3 linked regions of the Notamacropus eugenii genome follow. The protein of the gene in region 3 interacts with the protein of the main gene of each other region in a pairwise test. Links are inferred from orthologs where the notes say so. Each region holds a gene or a part of one and is shown on either strand. Other genes may lie near its edges.

Region 1 (7,659 bases), on a different chromosome or scaffold from region 3:
CTGGAGATGTTACACATGAGGAGTATCAAACAGTTCACTTTGGCTGAGGGGGGTGAGAAGTAATGTGAAATCAGTCTAGAAAGAATGATGGGTTCAAGATAGATTGGAAAAGGCTTAAATGCCAAAAGAGTTTGTATTTTGCCCTGTAGACAATTAAAGAACTACTTAGTACAGTTCTTAGAACACAGTAGGCACTTAAAATGTTTATAAATTACTTAAGGTTCATTGGCCTCTCTGGTCCCACTTTCCCCTTCTGTGAAAATGAATGGGTTGAATGAGATCATCTCAAGTCTTTTCTAGCTCTAAATTTTATCACTCTACAACACATAGCCAAAACGGTGGAAGATAACTCAGTATGAGTTTACTGCTGCCCCTTCCCCATCCCAGTTCCAAATTCCACCCTCTCTCAAAACTGTCCTACTCCCCTCCAAAGCAGGAAAACATCACAAAACAAAACAAAAAAGATATGTTTATTTCTCAACTTTAAGCAAGGATGAATCAACCTTTGCAATCTCCCTCCAGCAAAGGCTAAAATCAAACTAAACAAAATCCAAGATTTCAAGTCTAGGAAGACCCAAGGGACTAAAATTCCAAGTTCAGGGTCAGATGTCAGCAGTAAGATCCTTGGGGGTAGGTAGTCACAGGTCTCCAAAGAGTCTATGATCAGAGATCATAGTTTATATAGTCAGGATCAGAGATCAAGGTTCATGTAAGTCCGTAGATTCCGTTCCCAAGCTCGACTCCTCTCCTCTCGATGTCTCTCTTCTCTCTTGCCCAAAGTGGCAGCTCGAGGTGCTCTTTTTTTTTCAGCCACAGCACGAAGGTCCCCAGCAGGAAAATGTGTGACTCGGGGTTGAGAAGTTGGCCTATATCCCAAACCTTCCTGGTCTCTCTTGAGGATTGTAGGAATGGGAGCAGTGCGCCCCTCTCCCCGGGGTCCCAGTCCCAATCCAGGCTCCCAACCCCCCTTCACTAACAATCGAAAGCCAGGGCTAGAGGCAGGGACTCCTGGAGGCAAGGGGGGTGGCTGAGGCCCATGGGACAGGGATAGGAGGTGAGCAGTAGAGCTGTTGTGATTAGTGTCTCGGTAATGGGAACTACAAGTCTCACAGTATTTTGGCAATGGAGAGCAGGGCCTGGAAAAAAAAAAAGGTAGAAAAGAGTGAAGGTGGGCGTCTTTTCAAGGTCCAGTTCAGTTGCTTCCTCTTCTATGAAGCCTGATACACAACTGCTCATGTTTCTTCCTCTAATTTTCCTAAAGCACTCTGGAGCTCTTTTGTGCCTTTTACTCAACCTAGTAAAACACTTATGCAAGAACTACAATAAACTTAAAGTTGGAAGGAGATTTAGAAGTTATCTAGTCCAACCCCACTCTCTAGTTAACAAATGAGGAACTGAGGCCCAGACAGACAGACTTCCCCCAGTCAGAGGTAGTAAGACAGAGCATCGTATCAGTCCCTGGTAGGCTGTAAGCTCTTCCAGGGAATCTGTGTAGTTTTGCATGTTCAACTTCCAGCATACACAGCGCCTTAGATTTTACTGGCATTGAATAAGTCTTCAAAGACTGTATTACTTTACTGGACAGGAGGCTCAAGGTTGGCTCAGCTCTGGAGTTGAAAAGGGTGACCACACCTTATTAATCCATACTCCTCGGGTATACTTTCTCACCAGTCCTTAGAAACCAGGGCCTTGCTACCATAGAGAACAATCTCAAGGATCCCCAGGTGGAAAGGAGGCTAGGTATTATTGGCCACCGACTCCTTAATGGGGTGGGGTAGGACAGTGTAATAGTGAAGATGACGATAGCTAACATTTGCAAAGTTGACCATGTGCCTGGCACTGTGCTCTAAATCCTTTACAGCTATTACCTCATCTGATCCTCCCAAGAACCTAGGTTAGCAGTAGATGGGGGAAGAGGCTGAGGAGCATCCTCAGATCTGACCCATGGGCTGTCACCTCCAAACTTAAAATCCTATTTGGTAAATAAAGTCCTTGGACAAGGGAGCCCTCGAGTCCCTTTCTAGGTTTCCTACACCGCACTCACCCCCACACCGAGATCCAGTGATAATGCCCACCTTGCCTTCCTCTCACAAGACAATCTTCCAGACCATGGGCTTTCTTTCTGGCCGTGCCCCAGGCCTGGAATGCTCTCCCTCCTCCTCTCCACTTCATGGCTTCAAGTCCCAGATAAAACCTCACTTTCTACAGGCTTTTATCCACCTCCCTTAATGCTAGCGCCTTATCTCTTTCTTATTAATTCCAGCATGAAGCTGTTTGCATGGCTTTCGCCCTTAGCCAGTAAGCTCCAGGCTCGCAGGGAAGGTCACCGAACTTTCTTGGTGACTCGGACCCTTCCCCGTCAGCTGCTAGACTGGGACGGTGGCAGGGGGCTGCCACTCACCGGCTTTGGGGCCTCTCCTCTCCACCGCTCTCTCGGACCATCCGGGCCACCTCGGGGAAGCCGGCCTCTTCGGCCAGCTGGGCAGCATCGCGCCCCCCGGGCTCACAGACGCCCACCCAGGCGGCTCCTCGCGCCAGGAGGTAGCGCACTGCCGGTCCCTGGCCCGCCCGGGCTGCACACATCAGCGGGGTCCACCAGAAAGCGTCCCGGGCGTTGACGTTGACATGGGCCCCGCGGGCCCCCGGGCCTCGGGGCTCCAACAGGGCGCGCAGCTGCCGCACGTCCCCGGCCTGCGCAGCCCGCAGGAGCCGCGCGGTCTGTCGCTCCCGGGTCCCATCGCTCTCGGCGCGGGCCGCAGCCGCTCCCGCCGCGGCCCCGGCCCTCTCCAGCCTAGTTTTCTGCGTCCGTTTTCTGCCTTTGGGGGGCGCCCGCGAGGGTGCCGGGGGCCCTCTGAGGGCGTCTCCCTCCACCCCGACCAGGGCTTCATAGAAGTTCCGGGCGGCTGCACCGTCCAGGGGGAGCTCCGACTCCGGCTGCTGCCGCCCGTCCTTCCAGTGGTCACTCGAGTCCCGGGCCGGGGTGAAGGCGATAAGGGCGGGGCGGGTCATGACTGCTGGGGTGGGGGAACATCAAGCCAGCCGCCCTCAGGAGCAGTTACCGGGCCAGCGTGGAGCGAACGCCAAGTGGGTCATCCTAAAGCTAACCCAGTAAAGGGCGGCAAAGCCCCCCACCGAGACTTGTAAGCGACCGGCAACCAGGAAGTAAGTTCAATGATTACAGGCCTCCTCTCTGGATCCCACCTCTAACTCCCTACGCTCGGTACTCGACTTCAAGTCCCAGTAGCAACCAGCGCCAGGCTGAGACACGGCGCCGGCGCAGAAAACACTCCGGAAGTAGATCACTGAGAAGAGAGTGCGCCTGCGTCAAACTACAGTCTCAGTCTGGAACCAAAGGAACACTTGAAGCGTGCCGCCTTGACAGCACCCGTAAAATAACCTGGCGAGATGGAGGACTGGAGGCCGGAGCGATGCGGAGGTGGTTAAAAAGAGGCAGATAGACACACAGACACATACACACACACGGGATTCTGCGCCCGCGTTCTGTTTATTTTGCTCCTTTTCTCCGCTCCTTAGCCGCCGGTTTGATTCGAATTGCTCGGTAGCTCGAGGCAGGCGCGTGCTCAGAGGCGCGAAGGCCCCCGTGGGGGAAGGGAGGGGCACCGGCCGTTAGGGTTCTTCGTTTGCATAACGCCCCACAATGTGCTTCGTTCCTCTCAGAGTGGCCCCCGAAGCCCATTTCCTGGGGCCAGAGACGGGGTTTCGGTGGAGTCAGCTGCCCAAGGAAGGTGGGCACAGGCCTGCAGGGTGCAGCCAAGTCTAAACGCGAATTAGGGCCAGGCTGCCTCTCACTCTTAGTGCAACCAGCATTTGAGGGCTAGACAAAGAGCCCTGTGCTGCTGCAGGCCAGCCTAGCCCCTAGGAGTGGAGGAGGAGATGGAGAAGGGCAAGGGGACAACTAACAGGATGGCTGGTGCCACCTCAGGTTAGCGGCCCCCTCCCATGACAAGCCCTTTACCCCGGAGGCTGGGGTTAAACCCTTTCACTCCCTAGTACCACCCCACCTCCATTCTCTGGAGAGAAGGGGCAAAAAAGAAACCTGGTCATCCAGTGCTCTGGAGGAGGGTGGACATGAGGACCTGTTTGGTAGAGCTGGCGCAGGGGCTAACTTGGTATGGGGTGATTTGTGGAGAGGTGGGAATAGAGATAGATGGTAAGGGTTAATTGGCAACTTGGAGGAAGAAATAAAAGATAGGGGTAATGAAGGTTGGATAAAGGGAGAGAGGAAGATGAACTATGATGAAGGAAGATGGGATGAAGGAACGCCTTCATACTTTACTGAGAAAATAGAAGCTATCCTTCATGAACTGTTCTTACCTATTCTATAAACCAACCCTCTCAATTATCCCCCATTTTCTTCTTATAAGAAGGCACCCCTTCTCCTTGTCAGTCCTCTCTCAACTTGTACCCCTTCATCTTATCTCTTCCCAGAGCTTGCCCCTCTCTCCTCTTATCCACTGACTCCTTCCCTCTTATCTACAAACATGCTCAAGCCTTCCCCATCCTTGCCTAAACCCTCACTAGCACACCCTCAAACTATCATCCTACATGTATCCTTTTCACAGCCCAACTCCATACCTCTCCCACTACCACAACCAAAACGGGTTTCTCCAAGGTTATTAATAATTTCATTATAAATTATTAATTTTCTTTAAATTATAAATCAAATGGCCTTTTCTCATTCCTCATCTTTTCAGTTTTTGAAACTGTTCATCACCCCCTCTTCCTAAATACTTGCTCTCAACTTAGCTTTTATCACACTACACTCTCCTGGTTTTCAAGCCTGAAGGACCATTCCTCAGTCTCCCTTGCTGGAACATCATAGGTATTCAAACCACTAAGCATGGGTGTTCCCCCTGAGGCTCTGTCTTGGGTCCCCTTCTTTTCTTTCTTTACAGTATTTCTTTATATCAGTTCCCAAAGATTCAATTATCATCTGTATACAGATATCTCTCAAATCTACATATCTAGCCCTAATCTCTCTCCCAGATTTCAAGTTCCAGATCAGTTAGTTCCACAAACACTTGTTAAGCATCTACAGTGTACCAGGCACTGTACTAGGCATTTGGATACAAAGACAAAAACACTGATGAATAAAGTCTATTGACTGGCTGCTGGATATTTCCACCTGGATCTCCAACTCAGCGTATCCAAAATAGAACTCATTTCCCACCATGCAATCAGCACTCATCATGCCTAGCCAGGACTATTGTAATAGCCTCCAAGTTGCTCTTTCTGTTTCCAATGTGTTCCCTTTCCAATCTATCTTTAACATAGAAGCAAAAAAATCTTGCTAAAACACAGATCTGAACAAGGCACTCCCCTAATCAAGAAAGTTCTGTGGCTTACTTTTGCCTCTAAGATAAAAGACAAATTCTTCAATTTAGCTTTTAAAGTCACAATCTAGCTCCAGTTTAGTTCCCCAGATTTATTTCACACTACTCTCCTTCATCCACTCTTGTGTTATAGGCAAACTGACCTATTTACTTTTCTCTGAATTTGGCATTCCATCTCCTGCTTCTGTGATGTGCTGTGCCTTTAAAGATTAAGAATAAACTGAGAAGCATTATGATACATACTCTACCTGTGAGATATGTAGGGGAAAGACTTTCCAACCTCACTTAGGAAAATGTACAGGAAAAATGTGTCTCATCTCTGGAATGTACTCCATCACTTTCATATCTTAGAATTCTTTGAAGGTTCAACTCAGATGCCAACTCCTGCAGGAAGCCTTTCCTAATCCTCCTAGATTTCAGTTTTCTCTCAAATTATCTTGTATTTATGTATATGTACCTCATTGCGGGGTCGAAAAATACCCACATCAATGAGATTGCACAGATCAACTTGGAATACTGGAATACATGTATTCTCCAGTAGTGTTTTTCATAGTGTCTTTTGTAATCCCACACCCATCAGTGCTTTGAATATATAACAGGCGTTTATATAAAAGTTTGTTAAAGTACTGGATGATGAAAAATGATTGAGGAGAATGGGATGATGAAGGCTAGTTAGGGGGATGAGGATTGTGAGAAAAGGGGAGATGACTGGAAATAAGGGTGAGGGATGACAGATAGATGACTGGGGAAGTATGCAGTACATTTAGTATAAACTGAAGAGCTAGACCGTTATTGTAGATACCTTACCTGTGAGACGTATAGGAGAAAGACGGTCCAATTCCAATTTAATCCCAATCTTGTTCGGCTCGCTGATGTGTAGGAGAAAGACTCTCCAAACCTTACCTAGTCTGGGTGTTGCTCTCTGTGGGCACGAGGACTACATTTCCCATGTTCACCAGCGCTAACCTCGATCTCGGGCTCCTGTTTCCAGCATCTTAGAGGAGAGCCTCCAGTCCTTCCTCCTTTGTGGCCCCGCCCCCTGCCCTATTTCACTGAGAGGACAGGGGCAAGGGTGTCTTCCGGAAGTCGTATTATTAGCCCAGCCTTACTACTGTTCAGGGACTCCATATCCCGTCTTCCACGGGGGGAGCCTGACCTCCTGCGCCTGCGCTCTGTGTACTTTCCCGCCCTCCCGTTTCTCTTCCCCCTTCCCCTCCCCCCTACCCCCCCACCGCTTCGCCTGCCGCGGTCGGGTCCGCGGCCTTCGCTGCGCGGCTTTGCTGCTGCCGCCGCCGCCCCTGGGAGCAACTTCTCCCTCTCCCTCCCCAGCCCCGGCCCGGTAGGTGAGTCGTAGGGCGCCCTTCCGCACGTTGGGGGCGGGACCTGAGGACGCCTGGCCTTGGGGAGGGAGAGGTCCTAAGGAAGGGCAGGGGAGGCCAAGGTGGTCCCGGACCCAGGGTGCGCGGAGACGCTGAGGGTCCTCCTCAGAGAAGCCCCAAGCTCCGGAGTCTCGGGGAAAGGGGCTGAGCGGCCCGGGGCGGCCCTCGGAGGGAGCAGCCCAGAGAACCGGGCCTGCGGAAGTTGGCCGGGGCCCGGCCTCCCGGGGGGAGGAGAGGGACCTCTGAGCAGCCGAGGGGGTCGGTAAGGGGGTGTGAGGAGGGAGCCTGATCCAGGCCTGGATCGCCCCCCTCTACTCACACGGGGGGAAGGGGACAGGGAAGGGACAGAGGTTTTCTGAGCCTCGGGAAGAAAAGGCTCAGCTAAGAATATGAGATTTGGGGGCGCGGGGCGGGGGAAAGGCTGCAGAGGAGTTCTCACCTGGATGTGGAGCAAGGCTCCCCATAACTGTGAGCCTGGAGAGGGGAATGGTGAGCCCCCTGCGGAAGGGGGCCCGGGGAAGGCAGAGAATGTCAAAGGGATGGAGAGCCCTGGAGAGAGGCTGGCCTTTCGCCCTCCAGGCTAACCTCTTTTCCCTCAGCTGACGTAAAGATGAGTAGCTCAGAGGAAGTATCATGGATCTCATGGTTCTGTGGGCTTCGAGGCAATGAATTCTTCTGTGAGGTAAGATCTCTAGTCATTAAGGGCTCCCCAGGTTCCCATTTACTAATGACCCTCAGACACAATGTCTTCCATGTGTCCGTTCCTCTCATTTACTCTTCTGGCAGTCCCTCTGTGCTAGCCACTCCAGGCCTTGGTACTGCCCTTCACTCACTGTCATCGTATACCATGGCATTGTGCCCCTGAAGCTTCCCCTTTTTTCAGGAACCCGATGTCCTGCCCTCCCACTATTTAAGGGAGACACTGA
Region 2 (7,482 bases), on a different chromosome or scaffold from region 3:
TCTCATTTGTGAAATTAGTTGCATTAGATGACCTCTAAATTCCAACTCTCATTCTCCGATCCTATAAATTCCAGTAGACATCTGTTGGTATTACTTACTTTTTTCATGTCGATTTCATATCACAGGAAAAATCCACCCATGTTTTGAAAAGGATGGACAATGGTATTCATCAACAGAATAACTTGATTCAAAAGCATAATTTAAATATTGTATATACATGTGATGACAAGCTTCATTGAGCATTGCAGAATGTACCTGAGCAATTTTCAATCCAAGCTAAATATTATTACAGAATTAGCACTGTATCAAGAGTTTATGTTCAGAATGACTGGTCTCTTTGTCTCAAATCCCTCTTCATTCTAGTCTACCTATCACTCAGCTGTCAAACTGAACCTTTTAAAGCACAGCTCTGACCACACCACTTCCCATTCAATCAACTCCAGTAGCTGTTTATCACCTCTAGGTGATAGATGGAAAATCATCTGTTCAGACATTTTCAGAGTGAATGAAATTTCCAACTAAGTGATCAGAAAAAAATTTTAAATTTGCAGGGAGAAATGTTAGAATAAAATTTCAGTAATATTACCATACATTGAGATAAACATTGGAGAAAAAAAGCAGCTGAGTAATTTTTTTCCTGTGTTAAAACATAATTTGACAATATGTTGTGCAGAACTAAAATATTATTTGATTATGGAAAAGTAAAAACTGCTTCTTTCCTTAGTTCTAACTCAGCAGCAGAAATTACAATAAAATGTTATTATGCCTTTAAGGAAAAAAAGGTGCATAGAAAATTTATGGAGTTAGAATTTTACTGAAATTTTCACATCAAATATAATTTTAAAATTGAATTTTATGGAAGTTTCCTTTCAAAGTAAAAATAGAACCTATGCATTTTTGAAGCATGAATGAGAGAGTGGCATTTAGCTATTTTTGCTGCACAGAAAACCTTTTTAAAATGACCATATTCAGGGTTAAGCTCTCCATTGCTGAGGTGCCTAAGGAAGGATTTTTAGAACAGTGCCTTCCACACCTTGAAAAGGAGCTTATTAAAATGGACAGAGGATGGTTAACATGGAAATTATGAAAAGTTAAAATTTTTTCTTTTAACATTTCTATAGTGATATATAGCATATTTCTATAGAAATATAGTATTTAACATTTCTATTCTTATATATACGTAGATATTTTTGACATTTTTTCCTTGAAATTTTTATGAGCCTCCAACATCAATGGTCTTCACTCACTCTAATATAGTACTTAGTTCTCCTATAAGAAACCTAAACCTATAACCTTGTTTCATTACCCTCTAATCATTCAGATCCCTGTTACCTCTCGCTTACACAACAATAACTTCATTAGTCACCCTACCTCAAATATCTTTCCACTTCAATCTTCCATGTGTGAAAAGACTATTCGTAAACTATGGGTCTGACCAACCAAGAAGTTTCCCTGTGCCTCCATTATCAATAGCACAATGGCTTGGCACATCATATGTGCTTAAAAAATGCTTTCCCAAAAATTCATTCTAGGATAAAACACTTATTTGGCCTTCCAAGCTCTTCCCAGCTGGTTCTAGATAACCTTTCCAACATTATTATAGGTGATTCTCCTTCACACATTCCATCCAAACTGACCTCCTCATGTTCTCTCTGCAAAGGCTGTCCCCCTTAAAGGTCCTTTCAAAGTTGGGCTCAAGTACCACCTTCTCCATGAACCCTGTCTTCATCACCTCTAACTGTTAAGTGTCCTTTCCCCCAGAAATTACTCATATACATCTTGCATTTCCCAATGTGTACACATGGTTGTGCCACAATGGAATGTAAAGTCCTTTGAATTGTTCTGTATTCCCCAAATTGGGTGGTGTTCAGCATATGGCAGATCCTCAATGCTTACTGAATAAGAAAACAATGGAAACAATATAATTTTTATTAAGGGCAAGAATAAAAATAAAGTAACAGAACTGAATCACAACCAATGTTCTTTGTAAGTACTGCCATTTCTTTTCCCCTCTCAGAGAAGTTTAAGTACTGAACATCTTCATGGCTTGAACTCAGTTCTATTTAGTAAGGGGCAGCTAGTGGTGCTGGGCCTGAAGTCATGAAGACTCCTCTTCCCGAGTTCAGATCCAGCTTAAACCCTTACTAGCTGTGTGACCTGTCTGCCTCAGTTCCTCATCTGTAAAATGAGCTGGAGAAGGAAATGGCAAACCCCTCCAGTATCTTTACCAAGAAAACCCCAAATGGGGTAGAGTTTGAAACAACTGAACAAAAACAACCTGGTAAGCTTAGGCTATTATTTTTCTACAGCCAAGAATAGGGGAATGGAAACTTCAGCGAAGGCACCTTGAACTCAGGGCAGGGTTCTGCTAGTGGCTACAGCTCTACAGCTGTTAAGCTGTCTCCTTCCCTGGCTCCACTTGACTCCAGATTTAACAGCAGTTTGCTCAACAGGCCCAAACTCTTGCTGCCACTACTCTCTGGTTCCCAGAACCCACCACTGCAGTGGTGGGTTTCTCCCTCATTTCAAATCTTTCTTTTCTCTCAGTCAACCATCACAACATATGAAAGGCCTGCTTTGCACAAAGCAGTGCATTGATTTATGCAAGCTAGGAGGACTTGGAAATTCAGCCAGGAAGTCCCTTCAACTATGGATGGAACAGAAGCTGATCCATACCTAGCTTCTGAAATGGTCAGTCCAGGGTCTGGCACACCAGGCACCATTTAATACTCAGTCCTTAAAGGAGAGAGCGTGCAGAGTCCCGACATTGGGGGCTCCGGAGGTCAGTCAGTCACCTAGTGAAGAGGAGCACCAACTCATAGTGCACAGTGTGTGGGAACATGTCCACTGGCACTGCTTGTCTCAAGACAAAAGGCTCACCCTGGAGATCCTTGTTAGGGTCTGGGGGACAGCACAACTCAAGGAAGTTTCTTTTGGCCTTCCCACTGGGGTAGCAGGAAACAAAAATCAGCGTCTTGATGGCTCTGCAATTCCGAATAGCCTGGACCACCTGGCTGTTCAGTCCAGTCCGGGAAGGGTCCACCATGGCCACAAGCGACTGACCAGTCTCCTGTGATTTTAAAAGCTGCGGCACTATATTCTCGACCTGGTCAGCATGGAATTCCCAGTTGGTGATTCCATTAAATGCTGCGGTCCATCTGGCATCCTCTACCGCCTGCCCCACCAACCCCGTGCTCAGGACCTGAGCTGTGCGCTGGGCCAGGGAGAGGCTGGTGGCCCCAGTTCCTTGGCTAAGGTCAAGGAGAAGAGTATTGGGGTCCACCCCGCTCAGCTCTCCCACCACCCTGTAGAGAACCTCGACAGCAGCCGAATTAATCTGGAAAAAAGCACCGGGAGAGATTCGGAATTTCAGGCCCGGGAGGTCTTCGAAAATGTGAGGCTCTCCAGCCAGGAGCTGGTAGCGGGGCGGCTGCTGGCCGCCCTGGACATTCTCCTGGAAGTAAAGGGAGGTCAAGTCACAAGCGGCCCCGGGGCCGTGGGTGAAAAACTCCTTGACCTGCTCCTGGTGAGGCCGGAGCTGGTCGGGCCGCAGCTGCTGCGGATGGAAGGCGATGATCGCCATGGTGTGGCCGCGGCCGGTGCTCCGGACCGTGAGCTCGTGCCAGTGTCCGCTGCCGTGTGGCTCCAGGTAGGGCTCGAGCGGGCTCTGCTCCAGGAAGGCCTGGTAGCAGCGGGCCACGCGTTGGTGCTTGTCGGGGATGTGCTTCAGGTGCCCGGGCTGCACGCACACCAGCTGCTGCTCCCGCCGAGAGCCCAGCACGTAGCCCACGGTCCGGGGCCGGCCGTCGGGGCCCTGGCGGATGGCGAAGTTGCACTTGTTTCGGTAGCCGTCGATGACCGGGGACGGCCGGAAGGGCTGCAGACGCGAGCAAAGGCTCCCGGCCTCGGCGTCCGGGCTCCCAAGCGAACGCAGGCGAGCCTCGAGGCGCTCCAGGAGGCCGCGCAGAGTCTCCGCCTTCACCCGAAGCTGCTGCTCGTAGTCCAGCCGCCACAGCGGAGTCACCAGGTCCGCGAGCCGCTCAGGCCACGAGCCCGGCTCCGGACCCCAGTCCTCCGGCGCAGGCGCAGGCGCCGCCGGCGCAGCAGCCGCCTTCTCTGGGCACGCGGCGCCCAGCCAGGCCCGCGGGGAGCTCCAGGGAAGCGGCCGGCCGCGCGACAGCAGCGCAGTCCGAGGCAGGCAGGGGCCGAGGTACCTCATGACCCGGGCAGGAAGCCACCCTCGGCCGAGGACTGCACCGGAGCCGGCGGCCCCGGCACTACTGGCTCAAGAGCGCCGGCGTGCCGGGAAGTCACTTCCTCCACGCTGCATCTCTCACCGCAAGCCCGGTCCCCGCCGCTCTCCCCACCAATCAGAGCCTCTCTCTAGTTCTATTCGCCAATCAGAGACCAGCTTCCGACAGCAGCGCCCTCTGGGAATTCTCCAATCTCCGCTAGGGTTTCATGGGAAATGTAGTCTTCTCTCTTGCCCACATGGAGTCCTTGTTGCCATGGGTTCCCCGCCTCTTTCACTTTCTCCCAAAGCAAAAGGCGAAAGGGAGCGGGCCCGAGTAAAGGCAAAGGAAGACTCGTCCCAGCCAGTCTGCCTGTTGTCCACGCAGAGACATATCAGGCAAGCCTCTCGAAACGTTTGTACTGGCTCATTATATTGCACTCAGAGAGCGCAGCCCTTTGCACGTTAATCAATGCTTCATTCCTCCGTTCGTTGTTTACGATTTGCTATGGAAATTCCTCGCTTGGGTCTCAGTTCGGTACTGCGAAGCAAACCTCCCATAGCGACAAGAGCTGCAGGCAAGAAACGGGGGATGTACCGAGGAGCCGCGTCGGAGAAAGTCGGAGCCACGCCCCCCGTCCTCGGCTGAAACCACGTGGAGCTGCGCGCTGCCGAACCTGACCCGCGATCCGGGAGACCTCTCACCCCTCCCCCGCAGCCCCGGGCTCTGCGGCGGTGCCCGCCCCCAAAGCCTCCGCTGCCCCTGGGATTGTCTGCTCCCTCCCTTAAAGGCCGTTCAGACGTGAGACTGTGGGTGTCTGGGAGAAAACTGTCGTGTAGCGCAGGCAGCCTGCCTTAGAGGTGAAAAAGAAAACTGTTCTGGACGGCTAAGTTATGTAAATGTTCTCTGTCCTTCAGTCTCTGGGCCAAGGTCCCTCTCGTGCCACCAGTAAATCGTTAACATTTTGGTTTTATAAACACCCTCCTCACTCCGCAGGTTTGACAGTTTTATAAAGAAGCAGGAAGATGCGGCTCCCTGTTTTTGTAGTAGATGCTTTTACAGGGGAAGCGTTCCGGGGGAACCCTGCCGCTGTTTGTCTCCTAGAAAATGTAAGTTGTTTTGTTTTTCTGTTTTGTTTTTTCTAATAGAACAATTTTCCCAACACTTTCTCTCCTCCCTAGAAAAATACACCTTCCTGGGTGCCTGTCCTGTTCATTATTTTTAGTGTCTGAATGCTTGTTTTGATCCAGTTTTATAAAGAATGCTCAGAGCTAGGCTAGATCCGAGGAAAATGTCCGTAATAGGTAACTAGACGAAAAAGCTGATCAAATTGTTGCATGTAAATATAGTGGAATATTCTTTCAAGTTAATGCTAATAGGATTTTGCTGAGCCAGCCTCTAACCTGAGAATGACAAAACAGCAGACCCGAAACTGGTTCAGTAGTCAGGTCCAAGGTTAATTAGTTTCATAATGAGAAACAAACTTGCAAATGGGGAATTCTCCCGATCCGAATTCTACCTCGCAGAAGTGAAGGCTGAGAGTATATACATAAATCCTGTGGGAAGGTGGGTTACAAACTATCAGTCGTTCTCTGGGGCCAGAGCGGTTTCCGGACCAGCCCACAGATGGAAGACCATACAACAATTCTGGAATCTAGTCTCGGTGGGTGGTGGCTTGGTGGGTCACTGGACCACCTATTCTGTGAGAATAGTCTGTTTGCTGTTTCCCATAGGTGGCATATGGTGGCTTCATAACTGCCATCTCCCCTACCAGACCCCAGTCCCTTCTCCTGCTTCTTGGAATCTGGGCTCCCTTCAAGGATCAGCTCAAAAAATTCTCCTAAAGAAGCCTTTTCTGATTCCTCCAGTTATTTGTAGTATCCTCCCACTAAAAAATATTTATTGCCTTGACTTTTGGTATACCTATTTTTTTCTCCCCTTTGATTTTTATTTTTGTATGTCCAGTACCAACACTATGCTAAGCATTTTATAAAAAGCCTATTGAGGCTGAAACATATACTCTCATTACGTTGTGAGTTTTTTGAAAACAGTAAGGTATGGGCTTTGTTGAGCACAAAGTAGGTACTTAATACATGTTTGTGGAATGAAAGAATGACCTTTGGAAGCAGAAGTGGAGGAAGGTTTTCAGAACATTTAAAAGAATATTATGACTAAAGCTCTGGAGTAAGGCTAATAGGACAGGGAAGAAGGAAGTAGAAATGACAGTTTTAGCCATTAAAATTGTGGTGAAACCTTGAAGACTTGATTAATAAATAGTAGTTATTGTTGTTCAGTCATGTCCAACTCTTCATGATCCTTTGGACCCTATTGTCCATGGGATTTTCTTGGCAAAAATACTAGAGTAGTTTGTAATGTCCTTCTCCAGTGGAGTAAAGCAAACAGAGGTTAAGTGACTTGTTCAGGGTCACTCAGCTAGTAAGTGTCTCAGGCTGGATTTGAAATCAACTCTATCTTGACTCTAGGTCAGTGTTGTATCCACTGAACCACCCAGCTGTCCCCAACAAATATTTACTGAATACCTATTATACACTTCACATTGTGGGGCAGACCAGCAAAGGCTAAGATGTGTAAGGAGTTAATGATCTGACTGGGGAGACTAGATTTAACACAACCATTAGAGAATCATGCAGCACCATCTGTAATTAAGTACTACCTGTTGTGTTTGTCCTGCCCTACCAAAGAAGACTATGACATCAGAGAAATAATGACATGATTTGTACTTGACTTTGGGTTGAGTGAGGGATGGCTGTGCAAGGTGACCAGCCTCACTTCTTCCCTGGAACCATCTGGGTCCAGTGACCATCAGATATTCATCAAAATGACTGGAGATGGACCAGGAGGCAACGGGAGACCTTGGCCCCTGTAGGCCAAGGCCTAATCGATACTCGCTTAAGGTGAGGTAGTGCCCATTCAGTGAATAGGCCTTTTAAGAAGTAGTCAGGGGATGGTCCCTTTAATGAGGCAAGAAAAAAAAATTAAAAAAAAATAACTAAATCAGACTGTGAGGGAAACAGCAACAGTTACTATTGATAATCACTCTTAAGCCAGGAGGGTCCAGAAAACAGCCCTTAAATGGAGCTTGGGCAGGGGCCTAGTGTTGTCCAATCTATGGGCTTCAGAGTGCAATAGGTTTAAGGTTTTGGGAAAGGAAAGGAAAGGAAAGGAGAGGAGAGGAGAAGAGAGGGGAGGGGAAGGGAGGGGAGGAAAGGAAAGGGGAGAGGAGCTAACT
Region 3 (6,758 bases):
AGCTGAATTCTTGCTTCAACTTTAGTTCCAAACCAAGCATAGAGAAGATAGGCAGAACTAGCCACTAACTCAGGCCCAATATTGACGTGTGCATGCAGGTCACGGCCTTGATCAGGGAGGATAAAGGGTGGTGAATCAGCATTACAGGCTAAAGTCTGGAATGGATTATCTAGTAATCAAGTGACACAAGATATGGCAGGTGCTTTGCAATCACTGCAAAGTTGTGTCTAAAGCACTGTTTTAAAAGCAGTGATTTAAATATTAGCCCTGTTATCTAGTTCAACCCCAAATGTTAGCTATTTTTACTGTTAGAAAGCTAAATCCTAGCGAAGTGACTTGCTCAAAGTTGAGTTGTAAAAGGCAAAGCCAGGATTCAAATTCAGGTTTTCTGGAGCTTTTTTTCACTACACACACTTCCCCTGAGTCTACGTGGCTCTCTGCTCTGGGCCCTGCCTCATACAGAGTATAATGGAGAGTCAGACCTGCCCCCAGGACCAGTCAGCAAGGAAGGGAGATGACGCCTCTTTATTATTAAGGTCAACATCAAGGAAAGCACTAAGAAAAAAGAGTACACAGGAGCAGGGGATAGGTCACACAGATTCAGTACTTGTAAGGGCAGGGAAAGCAGCACATCATTTACAGAACCCCAGGACAACCACATGCTCCATGCCCTGAAGAGGTTGGGGGGAAGCGTCAGGATAGTCTGGGGCTCAACAAGGGGTCTGAGGCCCTCTGAACCAGATACGTGAGCCACAAACCCTGCCCTTTGGGGCTCACACACTACAACACAATACACACATATAACACAACACAGGACATCATGGAGGCAAACACAGAGTGGCTGGCTACAAGAGGGGAAATTTTAGCAAGGAAAGGAACTGGAGGTAAGCAAGTCTGGCCAGGAGAGATCTTGGCTGTGGTACCCAAGAGTACCTCAGGAGCACCCCAAGACTGTTGTTGCTGAGCATCCCTGTGGTCTCCAGGTTCCCAAGTCTCTGCCCGGGCTCTGGGGGTAAATGTTCCTAAAAGCCCAATGATATGCTATCCCAGATGAAGTCATAACAAAACAGGATCTTCTCGGCATGCAATATCCTAATAGTTGAGCTAACAAATCTTCATGCACATTGAGAGCCTTTGCCTTTTAGCCCAGATGCCTCTGGAACCCCTTCATTCACACTCTCTGGGCTGCATGCAGTCATTCCTCAAGCTTCCTGAACCAACAAGAAGGTGTAGAGATCTCTATCCTGGGGGAAGGGGCTTGGACAGCAGCACTGAGTGTCAATGGGTCTCAGCAGACGGGTGTTTCTTGCGGCCAAAACAAAAGCCTCAGTTCCTTAATCTCTATATACATCTCTAGGGATTTAATTTACCTCAGTCCTAAGGAGTACATCTTCAGAATATAAAAAGAATTTTATTTACACAATTCAGGGGCTCTTGTGTTGGCAAGGGGCAAGGGGAGGGTTAGGATGGGTGGGTGTCCAGAGGTGAGATGCCCCATGGTTTCCTCCCTGTTAGCCTCTTTGTCAGTCTGTTAGGCAGAAAGAATCCAGGATGATCCCATTCATTACAAGTTCCTCTTTAGAGGAGTCTCTGCCCAGCATCCCATAGCAGACACCCAAGTGAAGCATGCTGCACCGAGTTGTCCAGTTCCCTCATCCTCATGCACCAAAAACCCCGAACCGTGCCTCGGAGGTACTGCCCCCCGCTGGAGCCTCCTTACATTGAGTTCTCCCCCTCCATCTCCAGATGCAGCAGGGCTACGTCAGGCAGGTCGTGGGCATCCCCGAGCGGCCCGTCCCCCTCCAGCAGGCGAGCACAGGGCTTCTCCGGGCTCTCACAGTGGCTAGTGGGTGTGGCCGGCCCGGGAACCTCCTTCCCTTCCTCCTCGCCATCCTGCGAGCCGCGGCCCCACTCCTCGGGAGGGGGGGTGTTGGGAGCTGCCGGCGAGCCCCGCTCGCTTCCCTCCGGGCCGCCGGCCGCGCCCAGGCCCTGGCGGGGCGCGGTGGTCATGATCTGGCACATGGAGACGATGGCCCGCTGGTTGGCGCACACGTCGTCGGAAAGCACCTGGATGTGCGAGGCCTGCTCGTCCAGGGCCCCCCGCATGGCCCGCACGTCCTCAAACAGGGCCTGCAGCTGGGCCTTCAGGTGCTCCATCAGGTCCTTCATGCCGCCGTTGTACTCGCCCGAGATCACGTCCCCCACAGCGGGCACCGAGGACACCTCCAGGGGGCCCGGGAGGTCACCGTCCTTGGTCAGGATCTCCAGCGGTCCGTCCTCCATTGACTCTCGGAAGCGGCGGCTGCGGCGGCCGCAGGTCCGACCCGGCCCCCCCGGGCTGGGGGCAGCGAGGGGAGCAGGGGGCCCACGGGCGGAGGGTCCCGGGAGGCGAGGGGCGAGCGGGGAGCGAGCGAGTACCTGGGACGGGGGCCCTCGGACTTGGCCCCCGGCAACCCTGGGAGATTCACCGGCCTAGCGCCGGCAGCCGCGAACGCGAAGCCCACGCTCCTGGCCTCCTCTCAGGAACGCGCCCGGCAGCTCCGGGGCGGGAGCCGAGGCCCGGTCCGGCTCTGGGTCCGAGGGCTACCTCTACGCCGCCATTAACTGGCAGCGGCCGCGGGAGAGAGGCGGAGAGGGGCGGGTCTCCCGGCCGCGCCTCGGATGCTCCTCCGTTTCCAAGGCGACGCACGGCACGTAGATGACGTGAGTCTCCATGGCAACTAGGAAAGGAGGACCAGAGAGAGGAGGGGGGAAAGATAGGCGTGGAGGGGCTGGGGGGAGGGAGGCAGACCCAAGGTGATGGTGGAGGACCGCCGTCGGCCCCCGCAGTCAGAGTCTCAGCCCTTGAGGGAGGGGTCGTTGACCCTCAGGCCTGGGGGGGGGGGGGGGGGGGGGTCAAGAAAGCGAATAGGCAGGATTCTTGTTCATCGGAGGACAGTGAGACTGCAGTTTGCAGCTTAAAACTGCACAGCCAAAGAGCAGTGGTGCCCCTTGAGAATGATGGAGAGAGACAGAGACAGAGACAGACACAGAGAGAGACAGAGACAGAGAGACGGAGAGACAGAGACAGAGAGAGGAGAGAGAGACAGACAGAGAGAAAGAGAGACAGAAACAGAGAGATACAGAGAGAGGGAGAGGGAGAGACAGACAGACAGAGAGACAGAAACAGAGAGACGGGAGAGAGAGAGAGAGAGAGAGAGAGAGAGAGAGAGAGAGAGAGAGAGAGAGAGAGAGAGAGAGAGAGAGAGAGAGAGAGAGAGGATTCCCTGGGTTCCCTGCAACTTCTGAAAATACACACACGCATTAATGGCACCCCTTGAGAATTACCCTGGGAAAATACACAAACGTTTCCCTTGGGAATCACCCCCGGCTAGATTTCTTTCTCAGGCTAACTGGAGCTGGGGCTCATGCTCCACTCTCCTCTCTTCCAGTCCCTGGGGACTTCTGAAGCTCCCAAAGTACCCTGTGGATAGGGACACCCCTTCCAAAAGCAAGGGAGAGATTGCTGTTCGTCTGGTGCTGCTGTGCAGACCACTGGCAGTAAGCACAGAAACTGAGAATGGTTAGGAACGTATAATCCAATCTTTCCAAAAAACCTAGAAAAGTATTTTGCCCTTATTAGGCCTTTCATAAATGTTCTTTCCTTGTCTCTTCCAGTCCTTTGGAAAGAAAGGAAGCAGAGATGTAGCTAGAAATAAAATAACCTATACTTCTTAGCAACCCCATGGATAGGAACAGCCCTTCATTTGTTAAATGAACCTAGTCATCTATATCATCACTTACTTCTTCAATAAGAATGATACACAACCCTAGATCAGGTCACTGGGAGCAATAGGTTATGTGACTGAACATAGCTAGGTTTTTTAATATCCTAAAGGAAAGACCAGCATACCAAGGAAAATTTCCTGTCCCATTTCCTTACTGAGAATTACCTGTTCCTTAAATCTCTGCTCTCTTTAGTTCACTACTGAATAATAGTCATGACGGTAATATTTCATATTTTCATTGCTCCTTAAAATTTCCAGAATATGTGCTTACCCTCCCTGATGGCAGTTAGTCAATCTCCTTTTAAAAATGTGGCTCCCAGGACTAAAATGATATTCTACGTTTGGTATTTTACTCTTCTGTGTTAGACTGATTGCCTATTATACCACCAAGGTCTTACTCAAGGTCACAAAACCTGTTAACTCAAGAATTCAATTCCATTAATTTGTCACTAATGGTTCAAAGTCAGTGTAGCTGGAGGTCTACACTGGAAAAGTACAGGAATCTGTTGTGGCTCTGTGCTGTTTGCTTATGACATAAAGCTGGGAGTGATTACGAACACACTGAATCAGAAGTCAGGATCTAAAACTATTTTGACAGGCTAGAACACTGAGCTAAATCTAACACGATGAAATTCAGTGGGGATACAATGTAACTATTTATACTTGTGCACAAAAAAATCAACTTCACGAGCATAAAATAGTGGAGGCACAATTGGATAGTAGTTTGTTGAAGCATAAGGGAGTTTTAGTGGACTGAAGCTCAATAAAAATCAGTAAAGTGATGTAGCAAAAAGGAGCTAATGTGGTCTTGGACTGCATGAAGAGGGGCACAGCTTTCAAGAGCACTGCAGTCTTTTCCTGTCAGAAGTCAACCAGAGTATTGTGTTCAGTTCTTGGTACCTCAGTTTAAGAGGGCCATTGAAAAGCTGTAGAGCAGTTCTTCCTCACAGTCATCAGGTTGGCAAATTTGACAAAAGAAGAAAATGAAAAATGTTGGTAGATGTTAGGGATGGATTTGACATCAGCTCCCTGTTCAGGTTTGATAGTGGGAAGAAATAAGGCACTCCTAAGTCATTGAACAGTTAACAAAAGGAGCTTTACTCCACCTTAACATAGCCATGATAAAGTCTTTTTTAAAAAGTTAATTTATTTTTAATTTTCAACATTCACTTCCATAAGTTTTAAATTTTCTCCCCTTACCTTCCCAAGAGGGCATGCAATTGAATATAGGCTCTACATATACATTGCTATTAAACACATTTTCACATTAGTCATGTTGCACAGAAGAATCATAATGAAAGGAAGAAACCATGAGAAAGAAAAAACAATACAAAAAAGAAAATAGTCTGCTTTGCTCTGCATTCTGACTCCATAGTTCTTTCTCTGGATGTGGATGGCATTTTCCATCATGAGTCCTTTGGAAATGTTTTAGGTCCTTACATTACTGAGAAGAGCTAAGTCTATCCAAGTCAATTATCACACAATGTGGCTGTTACTGTTCTCCTGGTTCTGCTCACTTCACTCAGCATCAGTTCATATGCCTTTCCATATATTTCTGAAGTCTGCCTATTCCTCATTTCTTACAGCACAATAGTATTCCATTATATTCATATACCACAACTTGTTCAGCCACTCCTCAATTGACGAGCATTCCCTCAGTTTCCAGTTCTTGGAAAGAGCTGCTGTAAATATTTTTGTACATGTGAGTCCTTTTCCCATTTTTATGATCTCTTTGGGATACAGACCTAGTGATGGCATTGCTGGGTCAAAGAGTATGCTCATTTTTATAGCCTTTTGGGCATAGTTCCAAATAGTTCTCCATAATGGTTGGATCAGCTCACAGCTCCATCAACAATGAATTAATGATAGCAATGATGAAGTCTTAAACAAGGAACAGTAACTTATTACTACCATTATGTAACTACCATTATGGTGTGTATGGGTGTTCAAGAAGGACTAGCAGCTCTGGCATGAGAGCTTGCCAAGTCCTTTGCAGGGCTTCTCATTCACTTTTGGTGTCCACCTGATACTCAACTACACCTGTGGCTCCAAGAATCTGTAGTATGCATATCTGTCACACCCAAGTAAAGCATGGCAGATGGGCTAAACCAGGTTGAGGAGCCTCAAATCCAGCAGTGAGTTAGGAGAGTGTCTACCCCAAGCACCTGAAGAATTCCCCTGAATGAATGGGCAAATGCCAACAATTTGTTCCAATGACCATGAAGGTGGCTGAAGCAGGAGCTGTGGAGCACTTAAGAGTTTGGTCAGATGTTAAAGATGCCAAAGTCATCCACTGCATCTGGGCCATCGCCAATCTTCCTGACTTTTGTCTTGTCACTGGGCATCCCTAACTGGGAGAGAGAGTGAAGCTGACATCTTTATACAACTCTGCCTCACTTAAATCCAATACATGCAGGAGTCAAGACATCATCCTGAAATATCATTGGTCCTCTTTGGAAATGCAGGATAAATAATAACTAGAATTATGCTCTACCAGAAGTTTACTACCTAAGACATCAAAAGATGAAGCATTTCATAGGAATACTGAATCAGCATTTCATCTTTGACTTGGGTATTCATGGTATCTTTCTAGGTCCATGTCTTTTGGCCAGCTGGGCTAGGTGTTGGACTTCTATCAGTGGTTATCTCCAAAGCATAAACTTTCCTGCTGCCACCCATGCCCTGCCAAAAGATTCATAAGCTCCTTACCTTGGTAACATCTCTCATATGCCTCTTCTCCTTTGACACTGCCATCACCCTGATAGAGGCCCTCAGCATCTCACACCTAAACTATTGCAAGAGCCTGCTGGTTGATCTGTCTGCCTCAAGTCTCTCCCCACTACAATCCATCCTCTGTGCATCAGTCAAAGTGAACTTCCTAAAATGCAAGTCTAATAATGTTTACCCCACCACTCATTAAACTCCAGTGGCTCCTTGTCACCTGAGGGATCAAATATAAAGCCCTCTGTTGAAAGGCATCCAAAGCCCTGC

The links.
Region 1: the proteins of CCDC184 (region 3) and GPANK1 interact in binary tests that used the Homo sapiens proteins (3 or more experiments, as listed by UniProt). The two-hybrid records come from large-scale screens. The link is inferred for Notamacropus eugenii from reciprocal best matches to the Homo sapiens genes CCDC184 and GPANK1.
Region 2: the proteins of CCDC184 (region 3) and PBLD interact in binary tests that used the Homo sapiens proteins (3 or more experiments, as listed by UniProt). The two-hybrid records come from large-scale screens. The link is inferred for Notamacropus eugenii from reciprocal best matches to the Homo sapiens genes CCDC184 and PBLD.

What each region holds. Positions count from the first base shown.
Region 1 is NC_092873.1:85,320,777-85,328,435, forward strand, and holds GPANK1 (G patch domain and ankyrin repeat-containing protein 1), read right to left. Parts: upstream 3,010-7,659; coding exon 2,402-3,009; intron 1,137-2,401; coding exon 692-1,136; 3' UTR 454-691; downstream 1-453. Other genes in the region: CSNK2B (casein kinase II subunit beta), read left to right, coding at 3,659-3,746, 7,333-7,415.
Region 2 is NC_092872.1:260,695,636-260,703,117, forward strand, and holds the start of PBLD (phenazine biosynthesis-like domain-containing protein), read left to right. Parts: upstream 1-4,473; 5' UTR 4,474-5,092; exon of another isoform or gene 5,093-5,228; 5' UTR 5,229-5,257; coding exon 5,258-5,341; intron 5,342-7,482.
Region 3 is NC_092874.1:220,041,090-220,047,847, reverse strand, and holds CCDC184 (coiled-coil domain-containing protein 184), read right to left. Parts: upstream 2,682-6,758; 5' UTR 2,284-2,681; coding exon 1,717-2,283; 3' UTR 507-1,716; downstream 1-506.